2 linked regions of the Elephas maximus indicus genome follow. The protein of the gene in region 1 purifies or fractionates together with the protein of each later gene. This does not show direct contact. Links are inferred from orthologs where the notes say so. Each region holds a gene or a part of one and is shown on either strand. Other genes may lie near its edges.

The links.
Region 2: the proteins of SNX33 (region 1) and DNM2 purify together in Homo sapiens (co-immunoprecipitation; 3 studies listed by BioGRID and IntAct, with this or other methods). This does not show direct contact. The link is inferred for Elephas maximus indicus from reciprocal best matches to the Homo sapiens genes SNX33 and DNM2.

The regions. Positions count from the first base shown.
Region 1 is NC_064831.1:65,540,271-65,549,940, forward strand, and holds the start of SNX33 (sorting nexin-33), read left to right. Parts: upstream 1-5,694; 5' UTR 5,695-6,886; coding exon 6,887-8,357; intron 8,358-9,670. Other genes in the region: uncharacterized protein LOC126088049, read right to left, coding at 4,093-4,257, 4,856-5,446. UniProt on the Homo sapiens protein: Plays a role in the reorganization of the cytoskeleton, endocytosis and cellular vesicle trafficking via its interactions with membranes, WASL, DNM1 and DNM2. Acts both during interphase and at the end of mitotic cell divisions.
Region 2 is NC_064821.1:28,764,319-28,774,009, reverse strand, and holds the start of DNM2 (dynamin-2), read right to left. Parts: upstream 3,781-9,691; 5' UTR 3,621-3,780; coding exon 3,460-3,620; intron 1-3,459. Other genes in the region: QTRT1 (queuine tRNA-ribosyltransferase catalytic subunit 1), read right to left, coding at 6,529-6,681, 6,763-6,850, 6,932-7,041, 7,143-7,218, 7,419-7,557. UniProt on the Homo sapiens protein: Catalyzes the hydrolysis of GTP and utilizes this energy to mediate vesicle scission at plasma membrane during endocytosis and filament remodeling at many actin structures during organization of the actin cytoskeleton.

The sequences.
Region 1 (9,670 bases):
TGAAAGCTGATAAGCAATGAGTGCCTGCCCAATTCCAGAGCTTGAGCTCTTAACTTTTTCTTTTTTTTTTTTTAACTTGAATTTCCTACAGGCACTTAGAAGTCTGCAAGTACAAAAGGGAAACCGTCTTTTCCGCAGACTTACTCTTTTTCCTTTTTTAAAAAAATCCGATTTTTTTTTAGCTATGAATTTCATTCAATTCATTCAACAAATATTTACTGAGACTTGCTATATAACAGATTCTGTTCGAGGTACTTGGGATCCATTAGGGAATAAAACAGACAAAAAGTGCTGCCTTGTGAAGCTTACATTCCAGTGAGGGGAGAGAGACAGATGATAAACATAATAAATAAATAAACTATATGTTATATTTTATGTATATATAAAAATTTTATGTTAACAGATGGTATGTGCTATGAAGCAAAATTGAGCAGGATATAGAAAATAAGGAGGGCCTGAGGTGAGGGTGGGATAGAATTTTAAATAGGGTAGGTCAGGGTAAGTCTTTTTGAGAAGGTGATATTTTATAGGTAGATATCTAGGGGAAGAGCATTTTGGGAAGAGGAACAGTCAGCACCAATGCCTTAAGGCAGGAATGTGGCTGGCATGTCAGAAGAGCAAGAAAGCTATTTTGGCTAGAGCAGAGTGGGCAGGGAGGAAAGGAAGAGATTAAAGGGAAATCAGGTAACATAAAGACTTATAGGCCCTTGTAGGACTTTGACTTTATGTTGATTGAGATGGGGACATTGCAAGTTTTTTGTCTTAATTTTTGGTGAAAATATACATAATAAAACATGCATTCACTGAACATTTTCTACATGTACAGTTCAAGATATTGGTTACATTGTTCGCATTGTGTCACCATTCTCGATATCTCTACCCATATTGTTTCACCACCATTAACTTAGGCTCTCTGTTCCCTAAACTTCTCTGTGTTTTAGAATTACTGTTGTCTGTTTGATCTCATATAGTCATTCTTTAGAAGAGCACACTGCTCAAGGTGAACATTCTCTACTAGTTGACCTAAATTGTTGTTTAGTTTAAAGATGGCTTTATGGGATAATTTGGGTTCAAGACTTCAAGATTATCTCAGAACAATAGATTCAGGGGTCCCCCCAGTCTCAATGGGTCCAGTAAGTCTGGTTTCTATAAGAATTTGAAAATTTGTTCCACATTTTTCCTATTTTTGATCAGGATCCAGCTATTGGGTCCTTGATCAAAACGTTCACTGATGGTAGCCGGACACCATCCTGTTCTTCTGGTCTCATGGCAATGGAAATAGTAGTTCATGGAGGCAATTAGACCAAAATGCCTGGATTCTAAGCAGAGGACCAACGTGATTTTTTTTTTTTTAATTTTTATTGTGTTTTAAGTGAAAGTATACAAATCAAGTTGGACTCTCATACAAAAATTGATAAACACCTTGCTATATACTCCTAATTGCTCTCCCCCTAATGAGACAGCACACAGCACACTCCTTCCCTCCACTCTCTCTTTTCGTGTCTATTCAGCCAGCTTCTAACCTCCTCTACCCCTCTCATCTTCCCTTCAGACAGGAGATGCCAACATAGTCTCGTGCGTCTACTTGATCCAAGAAGCTCATTCTTCACCAGTATCATTGTCTATCCCATAGTCCAGTCCAAACTCTGTCTGAAGAGTTGGCTTTGGGAATGGTTCCTGTCTTGGGCTAACAGAAGGTCTGGGGACCATGACCTCCGGGGTCATTCTAGTCTCAGTCAGACCATTAAGTCTGGTCTTTTTATGAGAATTTGGGGTCTGCATCCCACTGCTCTCCTGCTCCCTCAGGGGTTCTTTGTTGTGTTCCCTGTCAGGATGGACTGACATGATTTGACTTAGGTTTTAAAAGGATCACTCTGACTGCTGTGTTGACAATAGACTTTGGGGAGGTCAGGGTGGAAGTGGAGAGACCATTAGGAAGCCGTTGCAGTGAACCAGGTGAGAAGGATGGTGGCTGGGACCAGGAGAACAGTAGTGAATGCTGAGGAGTCAAGAATGACTCCAGGTTTTTGGCCTAAGCAACTAGAAGAATTTACTTGCCATCACCTGAGATGGGGAAAATCAGAAATTCAATTTTGGACATGTTAGAGATGTCTCTAAAACATCCAAGGGGAGAAATCGAGTAAAAGTATATATGAGTTTGGAGTTTCAGAGGTAAAATAATTTGTGCATTATCAGCATGTAGGTGATGTTTGAAGCCATGAGACTGGATGAAATTATCAAAGGAGTGAGCGTCGATAGAAAAGACAAGAGGACACTCTACTGTGGTCACTCTACTGTTAACACTATATTGGAGAGAAGAGTGAGGTAGAAAGAAAACCAGGACAGTGTGGTCTCCCCAGTGCGAAGTAAAGAAAGTGTATTCAGGAGGAAGGAGTGACAAATAGGTCAAATGCTGCTAAGAGGTTGAGTAAGATGAGGACTGAAAAGTGACCACTGGGATCCAGCAAAATGGAGGTTTTTGATGATCTTGACAATAATAGTTTCAGTGGAACATGGGAGTGAAAGCCTGGCTAGAGGAGTTTAGAAGAGAAAGGGAGGAAAGGAATTGGAGTCAATGAGTATAGATGGCTAATTTGAGGAATTTTGCTGCAAAGGCAAGCGGAGAAATGGGAGTGGTCGCTGGTGGGGGGAAGTGGAGTCAAGAGGAGAAATTTTTTAAAATATGGGTTGACTCTTCCCTCAACACTCACATCTTGTTGGTCATCAATCCAGTTTATAATACCTCCAAAACTTCTCCCAGATTTACTTCTCAGCCCCATTACCCCTGCCTTACCGTAGGCCCTCATCACCTCTCGTCTGTGGTACTACAGTAATAGTCCAACATGTGTCCTCTAGGCACCACCAGCCACCAGTGTCCTAGGGTCTGCCTGGAAGCCACTGGCCACAGTTCTGCACTGATGACTCCTCCTTTCCTACAGAATGGAAATTGAATGGCTGGCTGGCTGGCTGGCTGAAGTTTCTTACGTATGCATCTGAATCAGTTAGGGTTCCGGGTCCCAGCAGGACAGAACTTACTCCAACTAGAATACTTTGAGGAGAATTTAATAAAAGGACTCTTTTTCCAAAGGAACAGGCAGCGTATGTGGAAACGAACCACAAAGATTGGTGCAGTTTCCTGAGACTAGTAACCCTGGGGTTGTTACCCTAGGCCTGAAGTGGGGCCCTGGAGGGGAGGGAGTAGAAGATACAGGTTCTAGAAATCTCTGTGAGGCTGAAGAGTGAGTTCTTCTCCAGAGTCTGGAAATAAGAGTGGCCCCTGAGAGTTAGAAAAACCCATCTGGAACAGATATGAAATTAATCACAAGATGGTTGGTCTGTAAATGTGTGACTGAAGTGTTTGGAAACCAACTAAAGGTCGGCAAGTTGGGACCTGGGAGTCCCTCAGGGGAGTTGGGCTGGACTGGGATGGTAGTTGGGTGAGCAGAAACTCATCAGTGGTATTAAGTGAGCTAATAAAGGTAAAGTATTTATTTACAAGTGTCTAAAAAAAAAAAAATTTTTTTTTTTTAATCACTCAGCAGGAAACCCTGGTGGCATAGTGGTTAAGAGCTACGGCTGTTAACCAAAAGGTTGGCAGTTCGAGTCCACCAGGCAGTCCTTGGAAACCCCATGGGGGAGTTCTACTCTGTCCTATAGGGTCGCTATGAGTCAGAATTGACTCGATGGCAATGGGTTTGGTTTTTTTTTTGGTTTATCACTTAGCAAGCACTAAGGAAGTAGTTGTTATTATTATACCCAGCTTGGAGAGCGGCAATGCAAACAGAAGAGAGATCACAGGAAAGTGAGGTCCCAGAAGCAGTTGAGGGAATTTGGCCTTGGAGATACTGGGCTAAACAGAGTCCTTAGAATCAAGGCCACCCCTATGGTGGGGGACAAGATATCAGGCTTCCTTGGCTGAGAATGTGTCATACCATCACCTTCTTCTCCTCACAGGAGGTCCCAAGCTCACTGGGCAAACTTCTTGGTAACTGGGCTTCCCAAGGAGCAGCCCAAACTGCTTTGATCCCTTGACACAGAAATGCAGGTCTCTCTTGACAGTTGTATTTCTCTGTGCAAATTAATACCTGGGCTTCATACATCAGCCTTTATTCTGGCCAAATGCCAGCTCTGCACAGGGAGCTTGCTCCACTCATTGTGCCAATGAAAGTGGGTTTTGGAGCCAGAGACTTGGGAATCACACCCTTCACAACAGGCAAAGGTGGCCACCTTTAGGAGCACTCCCTGGTGCGACTCAATCTGCAACAAGTGGAAAGGGCGAGAATGAGGGGGAAGGAAGTTCTTATTAGAGGGGGTAGACAAGGCTCCAGGGCATAGCCAGTAAAAGAAGGATGCCAAAACCTTTGCCTCACCTTAGATACCTCCTCCTTGGGAAAGCCGCCCTGGTCCTTACTCTACCCAGTTGGGGTAGGTACCCTCCTACGTACTTATCACGGTACTACTGGTCAAAGCGAACGGGTTTATCTATCTATCTGCTTGTCATGACACATCTGAACTGGAAGGTAAGGACAATGTCTTACTCATCTTTGTATTCCAGGGTGCCTGGTACACAGTAGGCACTCAATTTTTCTTGACTGCGTGATTGAATGAATGAGACAGACTGAATGGATGAATTAAACACAAGAGGGTGGACTGTAAGCCCCCCAGGGCAGGAGCCCCGACTGCCTGCCTTGTGTGGTAACCCCCAGTGCCCAGCGCAGTGCTTGGCAGAGTCACTGCCCAAAGTCCTCTGTATGGGCTGACTGGCTCACTAAGGGCCAAATCTGGGCTAGCCCCCTCCCAGAATCCTACCAACACCACCCCTCCCTCCTCACTGCTTCTGGCAAGGACAGCATACCCACTGCCCGCACAAAGCACCACGGGTGGTGTCTGGCTTGATCTCTGTCACTGCAGATATGGGGTCTTGTCCTTCCCCCTGAAGAAAGTCACCAAGGGCAGGAGTGCTCCAGACTCTAGTTGGCGAGGGGTACCCGCAGCGGCCGGGATCCCAGGTCAGATGCAGGGGAAGCGCAGGTTGCTTCCGTGAGGACAGTGCTCGCCCTGGGTGAGGAAGCCTGTGGGGCCCGCTCCGGGGAACAATCGCTGAGCTGCGCCACTGCCCGTTCCCACCAGGGCAGGGCGACGTCCTTGGCCCTGTTCCCCTGGGAATCTCGCGTTTCTCCACGCTCTCTTCTTCCCCCAGGTTCCGGCTCTGGCACCCTCCTTGCAGCCCCGAGCTTTGCAAACTTTCGGAGTTTTCCTCCACTTGCGTCACGGAAAAGACTAGAGGGTGACGGAGCCCCGGAACCAGGCGGCGGAGGCTGGCGAACTCCCCAGCGCGACGCTCAGACCCCGGGGGCGAGAGGTGTCTCCCGGTGAGGGAGGACGGGCTGGGGGTCGGTGCATCGTCCCCCCTTTTCCTGGGTCCTCTCTTCCCTCTGTCTCCCATCCAGGACGGAGAGCAAAGAAGTGAGGGCGACCGCGAGGTGGGAAGAAGCTAGGCGGAGTTGGCGGGGGCCGGCCCCAGCGCCCCAGGCCCGCGGGAAGGCGGAGCCGGGCCGTGCCTGCCCAGTCCCGACGCACGGAAGTGCTGTGGAGTTCGCCCAATTCCCTAGCCTGCTTTTCCTCCCTCCCTCTCCTCACCCTCACCTCCCCCCGCTTTCGGCTATTCCCTCCTTCCTCGGGACGCCACCTCCCAGAATCGCCTTTGTTTTGTTTTGTTTTGTTTTGGAGCTGGCTTCTCGCAGGCAGTGGAGAGGGGCTGCGAGTACAGGAGGAGAAGGCGGGCTGGGGGCGCAGCCCGCTGCCCACCGGCCGTGCCCGGTAGGGCAGAGCAGGAGGACGAACCCACAGACAGACGACCGCGCCATCTGCTCCACCGAGCTTACTCTCCAAACTACTGTTGAGTGTGTGCTTGCGCGCCAGGGGCGAGGGGGTGGGGGTCTGGACGTCGCGCGCGCGCCGGGACTGGTTACCTTTGGACGGGTCCTTACATCAGGGTCAGCTTCAGGCTGAGAAACTGCTGAGGAATTAAGCAAACAGGAGTCCACGCAGCTAGTGGCCAGAAGTCGCTAGACAGGCTCGTCGCGCTCCCTCCTTCCCCGGAGTCGGGGCTGGCCTCTCGGGGGGCGGGGAGAGGGCACCTCGAGCCGGCCTGGGGCCTGCCTGCTGCGCCGCCGGGGTCGGGAGTTGGCGGCCTGTTGTGTAAGCCTCAGTCCTTGTTTTCCCGGCCTGGCTCGTTGTGAAGCCGGACACATCCACCCTTGGACTCGATTCAGGCGGCTGTGCTTTCTCCTTGCCCCTCTTGGATTTTCTGGATTTTTGAAAACCCGGTGGCCCAGGAGGAGGAGGAAGGAGGAAGGAGCCGATCCGCGAAGGAATGCGAGAGCCTCCCGAGGGCAGAGCAGCCAGAAGAAGCTGGGAGCCAGAGGGACGGCAGGGCCCTGCTTGGGTTTCAGGAACCGTGGTTTCCTAGTGATTCTCTTCTATTTCAGAACATTATTCCAGTGGAAAGTGTGGAACTCTTGCCCTGGAAGGGCTGGTTTCACTAAGTCACTTGGCTTTTCTTCTGGGAGTAGGAGGAGGGGGAGTCCTCCCGCACATACCCCTCAGGGTCTGCTGAGGGCAGGAAGGAAGACTGTGGACATGAGCCCTCCCTGCTCACGGTCCTGTGCCTGGAGACTGGATAGGGCAGTTTCTGAGCCATGGACATTGCTCTGAAGAGAGGGAGGCTGGACAGCATCCATGGGTGCTGAGACCCTGCCTTAGGGGCTGAGGGACCAGGCTGCAGAGACAGGCTCCGAGCAGCTAGTGTATTCTTGGACAGCTTAGTGAGCATCTGGGGTTCTGGCAGCACCCTCTCCTTCCCGTCTCTACCACCCAGCTCACGATGGCACTGAAAGGCCGGGCTCTCTATGACTTCCGCAGCGAGAACAAGGAGGAAATCAGCATCCAGCAGGATGAGGACCTGGTCATCTTTAGTGAAACCTCGCTGGACGGCTGGCTGCAGGGCCAGAATAGCCGCGGTGAGACCGGGCTCTTTCCCGCCTCTTATGTGGAGATCATCCGTTCTGATGCCAGCTCCAACCATGCCTACTACTCCATCAGCCCTGCAGCCTCTCTGGGCACCCAGGTGAGCTTGCACGACAGCCCCAGTGTGGCCAACTCAGCCAGTACCGCTGGGGGCAGTGGTTTCCTCTCTAACCAGGGCAGCTTTGAGGAGGATGATGAAGATGACTGGGATGACTGGGATGACAGCTGCACAGTGGTGGAGGAACCGCCAGCTGGTGGGCTGGGCACCAATGGGCACCCCCCACTCAACCTCTCCTACCCAGGTGCCTACCCCAGCCAGCACATGGATTTCCGGCCCAAGCCAACCCTAGAGCGGCAGGATAGCCTGGCGTTAGCCAAGCGAGGCAGCATGGTGGGGCGCAACCTCAACCGTTTCTCATGCTTTGTGCGCTCTGGAGTGGAGGCCTTTATCCTGGGTGATGTGCCCATGATGACCAAGATCATTGAGACATATTCCATTGAAATGGGCCCTCGTGGCCCCCAGTGGAAGGCCAACCCCCACCCATTTGCTTGCACCGTGGAGGATCCCACCAAACAGACCAAATTCAAGGGCATCAAAAGCTACATTTCCTACAAGGTTACACCCAGCCACGTTGGCTCACCTGTCTACCGGCGCTATAAACACTTCGATTGGCTCTACAACCGCCTGCTGCACAAGTTCACTGTCATCTCAGTGCCCCACCTGCCTGAGAAGCAGGCCACAGGCCGTTTTGAGGAAGACTTCATTGAGAAGCGGAAGCGGCGGCTTATCCTCTGGATGGACCACATGACCAGCCACCCTGTGCTCTCTCAGTATGAAGGCTTCCAGCATTTCCTCAGCTGCCTGGATAACAGGCAGTGGAAGATGGGCAAACGCCGGGCGGAGAGGGACGAGATGGTGGGTGCCAGCTTCTTGCTCACCTTCCAGATTCCCACAGAGCACCAGGACCTGCAGGATGTGGAGGACCGTGTGGACACCTTCAAGGCCTTCAGCAAGAAGATGGATGACAGCGTCCTGCAGCTCAGCACTGTGGCATCAGAGCTGGTGCGTAAGCATGTGGGGGGCTTCCGCAAGGAATTCCAGAAGCTGGGCAGTGCCTTCCAGGCCATCAGTCATTCCTTCCAGATGGACCCCCCCTTTGGCTCTGAGGCCCTCAACAATGCCATTTCTCACACGGGCCGCACCTACGAAGCTGTCGGTGAGATGTTCGCTGAGCAGCCCAAGAACGACCTCTTCCAGATGCTTGACATGCTGTCTCTCTACCAGGGCCTGCTCTCCAACTTCCCGGACATCATCCACCTGCAGAAAGGTAAGACCCTGTGCAGGCAGGAAACCCTTACGGACTCTGGCACTCTGCTTGCTGGGCACTGGGGAAACTGGGATGATCTAGGCAGAACAGAGCAGCTTATCTCGTCTTTCTGTTGTCTTACTTATTCATTCAACAAATGTGTTGAGACCTTACCATGTGCCAGGTGCTATTCTAGGCGCAGGGATATTGTTGTGGACAGGCCTGGTCCCTGTCCTCACGGAGCACACTGTTTACCTTATTGTTGACAGTGTTCATTCATTTGTTTCCTCTGTTTCTGTCTGACTTGATCATTTAACCACCATGCACTGAGGCCTTTCAAGGTAACATAGAAATGATCAGGCCCCAGGCCTCACCACTGAAGAGCCCACGGGCTCATGTTGACACACACAGAACCTGATAATGAGAGCACAGAGTGCAGGCCTACATTCCCACTCCTCACAAGCTCCCTTGCCCTGTCTGTAGCTTCAGAGCCTGTTCTCATCCTCTGCCTATCTTGTGAGCTCCCTATCTGTGTGCAGGGGGATTGCTGCCCCCATTTTGCAGATGAAGAAACTGGTATCCAGAGATGGACAGTTGCACTGGGAGTCAGAAGCCCAGCTGGGTCTGTCCCTTCCTCCCACCACCTCCCCAAGGACATGTCTGTGTTGGCTGCCTCTCAAGCCCAGCCTTGTTTTCAGTTCTCATGCCCCCTCTATAGGAGAGGACAGGATGGGCCCCCGCCTGTTACTGCTGGGGCTGTCAAGGAACTGCCAGGGAAATGACTCATCCCGGGTCACACAGGGGCGCCAGGCCGGGCCAGGGGAGCGGAACCAGGGGGCCAGGGTACTGCCCACATACCCCCATCCAACTCCCTCTTCTGGAGTCTGCTTCTCGTCTGAGGAGTGAGTTGGGACTGACCTGGCAGGTGGCTGAGTCCTGGGGACAACAGGGAGGGCAAATGTCAGCGAGAGGTGTGGCCCTCCCTGGGGCTGCTTGGTAACTCAGGAAGAACGTCTGCAGGGCGTGGGGCCGGCTCCCTGGCCCCTAGGCCCTGAGGTCAGGTCTGGCTTGTTGGGGAGTTTTTTGTGGGTGGGGCCAGGAGGCAGGCCTCTAGATCAACTCTGGGGACAGCAAAGTCCCCCCCACCCCAACACTCAAGAGAGTCTGGAGCAGCCAGCCCTACTGTCCCTGACCAGGAAGATGACTTCTGGAACTTCTCCAGCTCCCAGCTTCCTTCCTCCCCTCACTTTCTCCTCCTCTTCCTCTCTTCTCAGCCCTTTTCTCTACTATCCACCTTCACCTTCTCCTTATTCTCTCTCCTTTCAGCTCCAGGA
Region 2 (9,691 bases), on another chromosome or scaffold:
TCCCCTTGGCCAAAGTCATGCAGCCAAACATGGTAGAACAGGGCCTTGGACCCAGGCCCACGCACTATACCATGAAATTCTAGAGCGCTGCTGGCCATTTTCTAGTACTGCTGAAATCCAGATTTTGATGTGAAATCTCATTTTTAAAGGTTGGCAGCTAATTAAAAGCAAAACTTTGTAAACACCACACAGGTGAAACAAAGGGCCCAACAGGAGCCACCCATCCGCAACCCCTGAGCCAACTGGGCTGCTCTCACCCGGGCCACATTCTGAGACAAGCCACAGGGAAGCATCCAGGACACACAGCAAGCCCTACAGACCCCAGGTTCCAGACCTGGACAAAGGCCCCTGACACATGCTCTCGTTTATTCCCTGAAACCAGTCGGGACAGTCCACTGAATGCGTCCACTTTGCAGAAGAGAAAACTGAGGCTCTGAGCAGTGGCACGCCTTGGCTAAATTCACCAAAAGAATCCTCTGGCCCACCCTGAGCAGGGCTTTGAAGCTCAGAGGCCTTACCCATGTTTAAATTCTAACAGTACTTAAGCTCTGTTCCAGCACCCTGCACCTTAAGAGAGGCCTTTTAACAACTCTAATTTTCATGCAGTAAATTAATGCTCTTTAACAGCCAGTGTCTACATTGCTGGGTTCTGGGAGGCAGTTGCCACAGGAGCAGGTAACCAATCACCAGTGGGGCAGGAGAGGTGGGGAGGGAAGAGAAATTCAGCGCTGCCAACCCAGAGCCCTCAATTCCTTAATGAACAGCTTCAAGCAAGAGGACTCAGCTCTTTGAGCCTCAGTTTCCTGCCCTGTAAAACGGAGATCATAACAGTATTAGCCTCATGGGGCTTAAATGAAATTCAGCATGGAACTCGAAGGCACTTAACTCTTATTAGCTTTTGCTGTTGTTCTGAGAGGAACCAGCCCAGTGAAGAGCAGCCCGGTCAGGCACTGCGCTAAGTAAGCACTTCCAACACACCATGTCACTGCATCCTTGCAACAGCCTTGTTGAGGGTCCAGGGCCCCATTTTTAGGAGGGGAAACCGAGGCCCAGAGAGGTCAAACAATCTGCACAAGGTCACAAAGCAAATGAAACAGAGAGAGCTTCACAGAGGCCCACCAGAGGCTGGAAAGGCAGGAAGACGGCCAGAGGGGCTCACAGCCCAGCCTGGTTGAGCCCAAGTTCAGAGGCATATTGACAGAAAACAGCACCTAAGGCAAGCACTGAGATTGTACAATCTCTAAATTGCGCCCTGCCCCCCATTTGAGTGCCCACGGGCAATCTCTAAATTGCACTGCCCCCAGCCCCGACAATTTCAAAATGAACGGATGATGATAGCGGCAACAGGTCTTGTCCAGCTGCCTCAGTCACTTGCCTTTCATATTTGTAGCACCTGGGAAGATCATTTCCTACCTCATCTGGTTCCCCCCGGGCTTGTGCCTAGAGCAGGTATACCCCCACTCCCACCACACACACATACCCACCTGCCTCTGTGTCTATGGTGCTTGAGGCAGGACACTGAGGCAGGACATTGTGTCATGCCAGGTTAATGGAAACCCTGGTGGCATAGTGATTAAGAGCTACAGCTGCTAACCAACAGGTCAGCAGTTCGAATCCACCAGGCACTCCTTGGAAACTCTATAGGGCAGTTCTACTCTGTCCTACAGGGTCCCTATGAGTCAGAATCGACTCAAGGGCAACGGGTTGGTTTTTTTGGTCATTGGCGCTTCCCCTTCAAGTGGAGTGGTACCCAGGGCATATGCCATGCCTACCATACCTTAGATCCACCTCTGCCCAAGCCCACACCTTTCCGCTACACTGGACAGAGGCCAACCCACCAGGGACACAGCAGCACAGAAGGAAATTCATGCGCTGGGATCACAACCCCAGGCCTCTGGGAAGGCAACAGCAGGTCTGGGTGTCCAGCCAGGCTCTGTTGCATACCAGCCCAGTGGCCTTGGGCAAGCGGTGAGTCCTTTCTGAACCTCCCTGCTCATTTCTAAGGTTAGGATGGTAACGAAATCACCCCATGCTCATTGTGGAATGCAACACACGGAACAAGGAAAGAACTCAGCTGGGGCCTGCTCAGTGAACGCTACCCCTTCACACTGATTAACAATAACAAGGACGATGATGTTACCATTGGCAGCCACACAGCCACAAATGGAGTCCCTTCCGGGAATAGCGAAGTGACCAGGAAGGTGGAAGGACAAGAGATGTGGGAGGGAGAGAGAAGAATCAACAGTCCTCAGTGGTTGTAGGGCCTGGTCTCATTCATTAGTTTCCTGAACACTGGAAACAGCCCAGAGAGTGGAATTTGCACACTGCACGGATGGGCAAACAGGCCTCTCCAGAACGGTCCAGAAAAGACTGTATCTCAGCTCTTATCACTGAGGGCTGATGAGGCAAAAAGCCCCTTCCCAGGCTCCAAGGAGTGCTCCCCAATTTGCAGGCTTTAACTTGGGGGCTGGCCCATGATCCAGGGCCCCAGAGCATCCTAACATGGCCCAGGAAAGAATTCCGGGGAAAGTTCCCCAGGTCGTACTTCCAACAGAGAGTTGAACAGATTCAAGCCTCATCCTTTCGCTCTCTTCTCCCCTACTCCTTTTCCCCACCCCCTGCCAGAAGGGTTAGGCCAGACAGATGAAAAGCTAGGAGCTGCTGGGACTGTCATGGTAGACTAGGAGATGGACAGACATTGGATCCACCAGTACAGACAGACAGAAGGATCTGTTTGGAAGAGAGAAGCCAGGGTCCACCAGGGACCCAAATGAAGTGTCATCCCAGGAGAGCAAAACAACAGGGTCCTCCTTGGGTCCAGACAGCCAGTTAGATGGAGGAGACCAGCTAGGGTAACTCGACAGAGGGACGGGTAAGTGCTAACGTCTGTGAGGGGAACGGATAGGCAGCCAGACAGCAGAGGTCATCCTGAACAGCTAGCCAATCAGCAGGGGGCTGCCCGTGGGACTGGACAGATGGACAGCCAAATGGTGGTAGGGAGGTCTCTCCAGGCCAGACACAGCCAGCCAGAACGAGCTGCCCCTGATAAATGGCCAGCCGACTGCAGGGATCACCCCAATAGTTACCGAGGTGGCGCGTTCGCCCCTGGTAAACGGACAGACAGACGGAGTAGAGGGGGACCTACCCCAACCCAAAGGCAACCAGATGGCAGAGTTTACCCGCGAAGGCTGGGAACGTGACACACCGCAGGGGTCAATGGCGCCTCCTGCTCCACGCCCCCCAGACTGTAGGAACGCCCCTGGGGCCTGGGCCGGCTCCCCATTGCCTGTAGGGAGCCCTCTACCCAGAGCGCCCCACAGGGCCCGCCTCCCAGTCCCTGTCCCCGTCGCCGGCACGCAAGCGCCGCAGTTACGCCGGCGGCGCAAGGCGCGCCATTCCCGGGCCGCCCTCCGCGCCCTAGGCCACCGCCCGCCCGCCGTTCCCGCGGCGCTCGCTCACCGGCCCACGAAGTTCTCGAGCACCGAGCTCTTGCCAGCGCTCTGGCCGCCCACTACGGCGATCTGCGGCAGGTCCAGGTGGCAGCTCTGGCCGATGGAGCTGAAGGCGTCCTGCAGCTTGTTGACCAGTGGGATCAGCTCTTCCATCCCGCGGTTGCCCATGGCGCCGGCCGCCCCGGCCCGAGCGCCCCGCGCTCCCCGCCCGCCCCCGACTCAACGACGCGCCCCGCGGCGTCCGCGGCCGTTGCTCCCCGCCCGCCTGGGCCTCGGCGCTCCGCTCGGCTCCCGGCTCGGCCTCACTGTCGCCGCCTCATCCGGTTCTCAGGCAACACCCGACCTGAGCGACCTCCCGCCGGGGCCCCCGGGCTGGGCTTAAAACCATCGCGCCGCTCTTGATTGGTCAACCTGGCTGCCACTCGGGTACTCGAGCCAATGGAAGCGAGGCACGAGTTTACGGCTGAATAAGCCTTCCCCTAGGGAGCTTCTCGTGGACTCATTGGAAGGAAGAACTGTCGTTGTTATGCAAGAACCAATAGCGGCCGGAGCCAAGTTGTCAAGGCCGGGAGGCGGTGTTTCAGGAAAAGGTATGTTGGTCCCGCCCCTTGAAGAGGCATTCTGCCACTTTATTGGTAGAAAAACCCGCCAGTCCGGAAAGCCACCAATGATGTTAGGGCTCGATCCTTAGACACTGGTTTTCCCTAAAAATTTCCCATTGGCTTATATAAATATCACTCCGTTCCTCCAGCCAACAGATCAGAAGAGGGCAGGCTTTACATCTGAATTCTGATTCTGATTGAGAACTGTATCTGTCAATCAAAGTAACTCGTTCTTAACTTGTGATTGTTGGCCGCCTGTTGGGAGACTTCTGGAGTACAGGGTAGCGCTCGCCAAAGGGCGACACCTAGTGGTACGACCCGTCACTCTTCTGAGTTTCAGAGCTCTAGAGAAAAAGGCCTTCCACGAGATGGACTGACACATTGGCTGCAACAATGGGTTCGAACATAGCAACGATTGTGAGGATGGCGCAGGGCAGGGTAGTGTTTCTGTTATACATAAGGTGACTACGAGTCATAACTGAATCCACGGCCCCTAACAACAGGAAAAACTACAAGTCCCAGAATGCATCTCGGCTGCCGGCAGGCAAACCCGCTCTCGTCGCGGTTCGCTACGCACTTTGAAGAGAAGTTGGAGCCGGGCGATGTTGGTGCTCCCTAGCGAGAGACGGTCCATTCCTATAATGTCAAGCTCCATGCCTTTGCAAATAACTGTGCCCTCCCCTAGGAGTATCTTCCGCTGACGCCCCGCGTTGATGCAGCTACCTCTTCAACGTTGTTCCCTGCCTCTTCAACTTTAGTGCATCATGGGTCGTTTAGAAACCCAATGAAACACAACCGGGTCCACTCCCCACGAAGACACGCTATTCTGCAGGCAGAGTTGGAGTGTGGGAACTAGTATTCTTGACCTCTTGGAACAGATGCCGGAGATAGGTGGACGGATTTTAATAAGTTATTCGATCCCTCTGGGCACAGATGGGCCAGAGAATAGGGAACCAAGTGAGGAGGCAGGAGCATTGAAGGGGGAGAGGCAGCAGTAACCAGGGAAATGGAGAACCACTGTGGAAGATGGCAGAGCATGAACCAAAATCCCAGCGCTCAGAAAGACGGCAAAAAGGCCACCAACAAGGTTAGCCAACCTTGACCAGGATCACAGCAACCTGGAAACACCCTAGCTGTCCTTCCAGAAGGGCTGGTTAAATAAGTGCAATAGGGCCGCAGCTGCCATAAAGGAGAATGAGGAAGCTCTCCATGTACTTAGGTGTAAACCAATTTCTCAGATATACTACGAAGAAAAAAAAAAAAAGCAATACAGAAATGTATGTAAAGGACACTAACATTTATGAGAAAATAGGTGTACATGGAAAATTTCTGGAGGAATACACAAACCAATAAAAACTGTTGCACTTTTTGTGCTATTTGAATTGTTGATCATACACATGTATTATTTTTTCAATAACAAACCTTATTTTCTAAGAACGCTGGCTTTGTAATTGGTCATATCTAGGTTAGAATCCTGGGCCTGTTTATTTGCTGAGTGATAATGACTTCATTGCTCTGATCCTCAGTTTCCTCTTCTGTAAAATGAGGAATACAACTCTACGTGCGTCATAAAGTTGCAAGAATTAAATACACATGACTAGCATCAAAAACAGTGCCAAACACAGTGTAAGCTCCAACTAGGCCACACCTATTACCATCACTGTTGACTGAGAGCGAGATTAAGTCAAGTGTATGCAGTCAGGTCCCTAAAGATCAGCGCTTTGAACCCACCAGCTGCTCTGAGGGAGATGTGGCAGTCGGCTTCCGTAAAGATTTGCAGTCTTGGAAACCCTATGGGCCAGTTCTACCCTGTCCTGTAGGGTCACTATGAGTCATAATCAACCACAGCAACGAATCTGGTTTTGTTTTTCACTAACCTAAAGGTTGGTGGTTTGAACCTACCCAGCAGTGCTGTGGAAGAAAGGCCTAGCAATCTGTTTCCATAAAGATTAAAGACAAGAAAATCCTACGGAGCAGCTTTACTCTGTCACATGGGGTCGCTATGAGGCAGGGGTGACTTAACGGAGGGTATGCAGTCATGGAGGTAACAGAGGGGAGGCTGAGAGCGTGAACTGCCTGAGTTCAAATCCTGAGTCTGCCACTCCCTCAGTGGGTGATCCTGAGCGAGCTCCTTTTCCTTTCTGGGCCTCAGTTTTCTCACCTGTGAAAAAGGGAAGAACAAGAGTACCCACCACCAGGGTGGCTGAGGGGCCTGGGCCACAGCTTCCATCTTGGGTACATCCTACACACTGGGCTGTGCCAGGTGCTTTCCAGATACCAGGAGCTGCTGTGGTTACTTGTTATCAGTGTGAGGGGAGAATGTCTGTCACAGTGAAGCTCAGACCAGGAAGGAGACCAAGACTGGATTCCTCCCCAAGAAGACACAGAGTCATGATGTTAGAATGAAAAAACCAAACCTTCAATATCTTCCAGTCCCTCCCTCTTCCCCCAATGCCGGAAGCCCCCTGGCCAGCTCAGCCCAGTGTGATTCCCACAGAGGCCAGGGCTTCGGTGGCCCAGGTGGGGTAGAGGGTGGGGTCCCCGTACATAGTGTCCATGAAGTTACGCACGAAGTCGGGGAAGCGCTTCTCCACGATGCTGGCTCGCACAGCACTCATCAGCTGCAGCTGCAGGGAGGGGGCGACATCGTGAGCCAAGGGAGGCCCAAAACCCTGCCTATTCCCTCACCCACCCAGCCACAGGCCCACCTGGTAGGCAATGTTGTGGACAGTGAGGTGGTGCAGGGCGGCGGTGTTGTCACTGTGGAGCAGTGCATGCAGGAAGGCCCGGCTGTGCCTGTGGTCCAGGGGGTCGGGGTCAGCAATGCTGGGTCCTGCCGCTCCCCCCACCTTCCCTCAACCCCTAGGCCTCGCCTACTTCTGGCAGGTGGGGCAGGTGCACTCAGGGTTGATGGGACCAAAATCCTTCTCATACTGCTTCTTCTTTAGCTGCAGATTCCCAGTGGGCACCAGGGCAGAGCCAAAGCGCTAGGGGAGGAGAGAGGCAGGGGAGGAGGGTCACCCAAGTCTTCACCCTCCCCGCCCCCACCCCCAGCTCCGCCCTTGCCTGCCCCTGCCCAGGGCCTCACCGCCGTCCGTGTGGGGAAGACACAGTCGAACATGTCACATCCGAGAGCCACGCAGACCACCAGATCGGTGGCATAGCTGGGGGTGAGGCCATGGGGGGAGGGGAGCAGTGAACCTCAAACCCTTGGCCTGGGCTTCCTCCCCACCCTCAGGTTTCCTGGGCCTAGGCCATAGTCCCTCAGAACCACCCGAGGGGAGGGCTGGATCCTGCTTAATCCTCCCTCTCCCCAACCCCCACTCCCACATGTGGGGCCCTGTCTCCCCTCTCCCCTACATACCCAACCCCCATCAGGTATCTGGGCTTGTCCTTAGGCAGTCGCGAGGTGCTCAGCGCCACCATCCTCCAGAACTGGCCCTTGCTCTCGCCCCCGCTCAGGCCCCCGATGGCAAAGCCTGGCACGTCCCTCTTGGTCATCTCTGGGGGCACAGGGCAGGATGAGGGGTGGCCAGGCAAGGGAAAATTACTTCCCATCCCTAAGCAGACCCTCAGGAAGGGAGAGAAAGTGCGTGAGCGTGTGTATGTATATGGATGGGGGGCTGCTGGGGACCTTAGCTACCATTTATCGAACGCCTGCTGCACGTAAGACCCTCTCCTTCAATCCTCAGGAGTGGGACATGGGCCCACACTTGCTTACCTAAGACCTTTAGAGCCAGATTTGTTTCAGAAGTTTCTAGATTTTAGAACAGTGAGCATCCTATATGCTGGGTAACAGCCAGTCATGAAATGCTGTACCATGTCTACAGCAAAATGGGTGAAGACTTGAAATGTGTGAGACAAATAACAACACAGGTCTGGTTTTGTCACCATATGAATTGCAGACGTCGGAGCTTTTTAGGTTTTAGACTTGGATGGCTCCAGAAGTGTAGAGAAGGGATGGGAGACCTGCACTGTTGTTGAGCTCGTCCAACAGATGAGGAAATGGAGGCTCGGAGAGCTGACACCACATATGCCAGCAGGTGGATTCAAACTCAAGTCTGGCCTCAAAGCCCAGGCTTGTCTCAGGCCCCAGCTGCCAGTTCAATCCAGGGGAGGCCACAGCATCAACAAAGCAGGTGCTGTCTGGGGCTGGGTGTTGTAGCTAGAGTGAGCAGCAGAAGCAACTGGGGACAGGTTGGTTAAACGCAGGTTCCCAGGCGTTCCTCCTCTCCCCACCCAATCATGGAGGAACACCCAGAAGGCTGCATTTTACCAGCCCTCCTCAGTAGGGGGGGCTGGTGTAGGTAAGCCTGGGAGCACGCTGATGCTTGTCAAACTGCAGGTGGAGGGGAACTGAATATGATGGGGAGAGACCAGCAGTGTTGTTTGCGAATGAAAAAACCACAGAAAATACCAGAAAGCATTGCAAGGGTAATGCTTCCTGAAGCTCTGATGTCTGTTTTCATGCACATCTGCAGGAACTGAGAAGTGATGGGAAATGGATCACTGACTGTGGGTCTCAGTTAAAAGACTGAAAGCTACTGGACCAGGGCAGGGGAGAGGAGACTTGGGGACGAAGAGGGATCACAACAAGGACAATCTCAATAACCAAGCTGATGCCAGGCACCGGTGGGGCACTTTGAGCGGATTTTCCCATTTCATCCTCACTTCGACCCCATTACATTGGGAGTATTTTCCCATTTTACAGAGGAAAAAAGTGAGGCTCAAAGACGCAAAGCCACTGGCCCAAGGCCATGCAGCCATGAAGCCATGGAAGTGTGCCTGAGGGACTCACAGAACCCAGGGTCTTGCCCATGATGCCTCATGGCCTGAGTCTCCCATCTGTGCCTCCCTTTGTCTCCATGGCCATGGCCTTGCTTCCAGCCTCATCACCCTGGGCCCCCACTCCGGCCTCCTGATGGGCCTCCCATGTCCTTACTTTCTAAGAACACCCGGTTTGTAATTAGTTGTATTGAGGTGAGAATCCTGGGCCTGTTTATTTGCTGGGTGATAACGACCAAGTGACTTCATTGCTCTGGTCCCAGTTTCCTCTTTTGTAAAATGGGGAACACAACTCTACATGCATCATAAAGTTGCAAGAATTAAATACACATGACAAGCGTTGAGAACAGTGCCAATTACAGGGTAAGCTCTGGCTAGGCCACATCAATTATCATGACTGTGTTGTTTTTCTCTGATGCTTCTTGCTTCCCGTCACTCTCCTGCTAAGCCCCTCCATGGCTCCCCAATGCCTCAATGGGGTGTCCCAGGGCCTCCATTGTTGGCACACTGCCCACGGCCCAGCCCCTCAGTCCTGACCCCGTGTGTCATCTCGGCCAAGAGCAGCACTGTGGAGCAGTTAGTGCTGTAGGTTCTGGAGCCTGAAGACGTGGGTCCCAACCCCAGCTCTGCAACATCCGAGCTGTGCAGTCCACGGTGAGTCACATAACAGCTCTGTGCCTCAGTTTCCCCATCTGTTACTCGGAAGCCTAGCAGTCTGTCCCCACGTTATAGGATGTCTGTGAAGACTCCATTGTGGGTAAGTTGGGTGCCTAGTGAATGTCCGAAAACCTTTAGCTATTGCAATTACTATTATCTTTAAATATGCTCCATGCCATGCTGCCTCTGGGCATT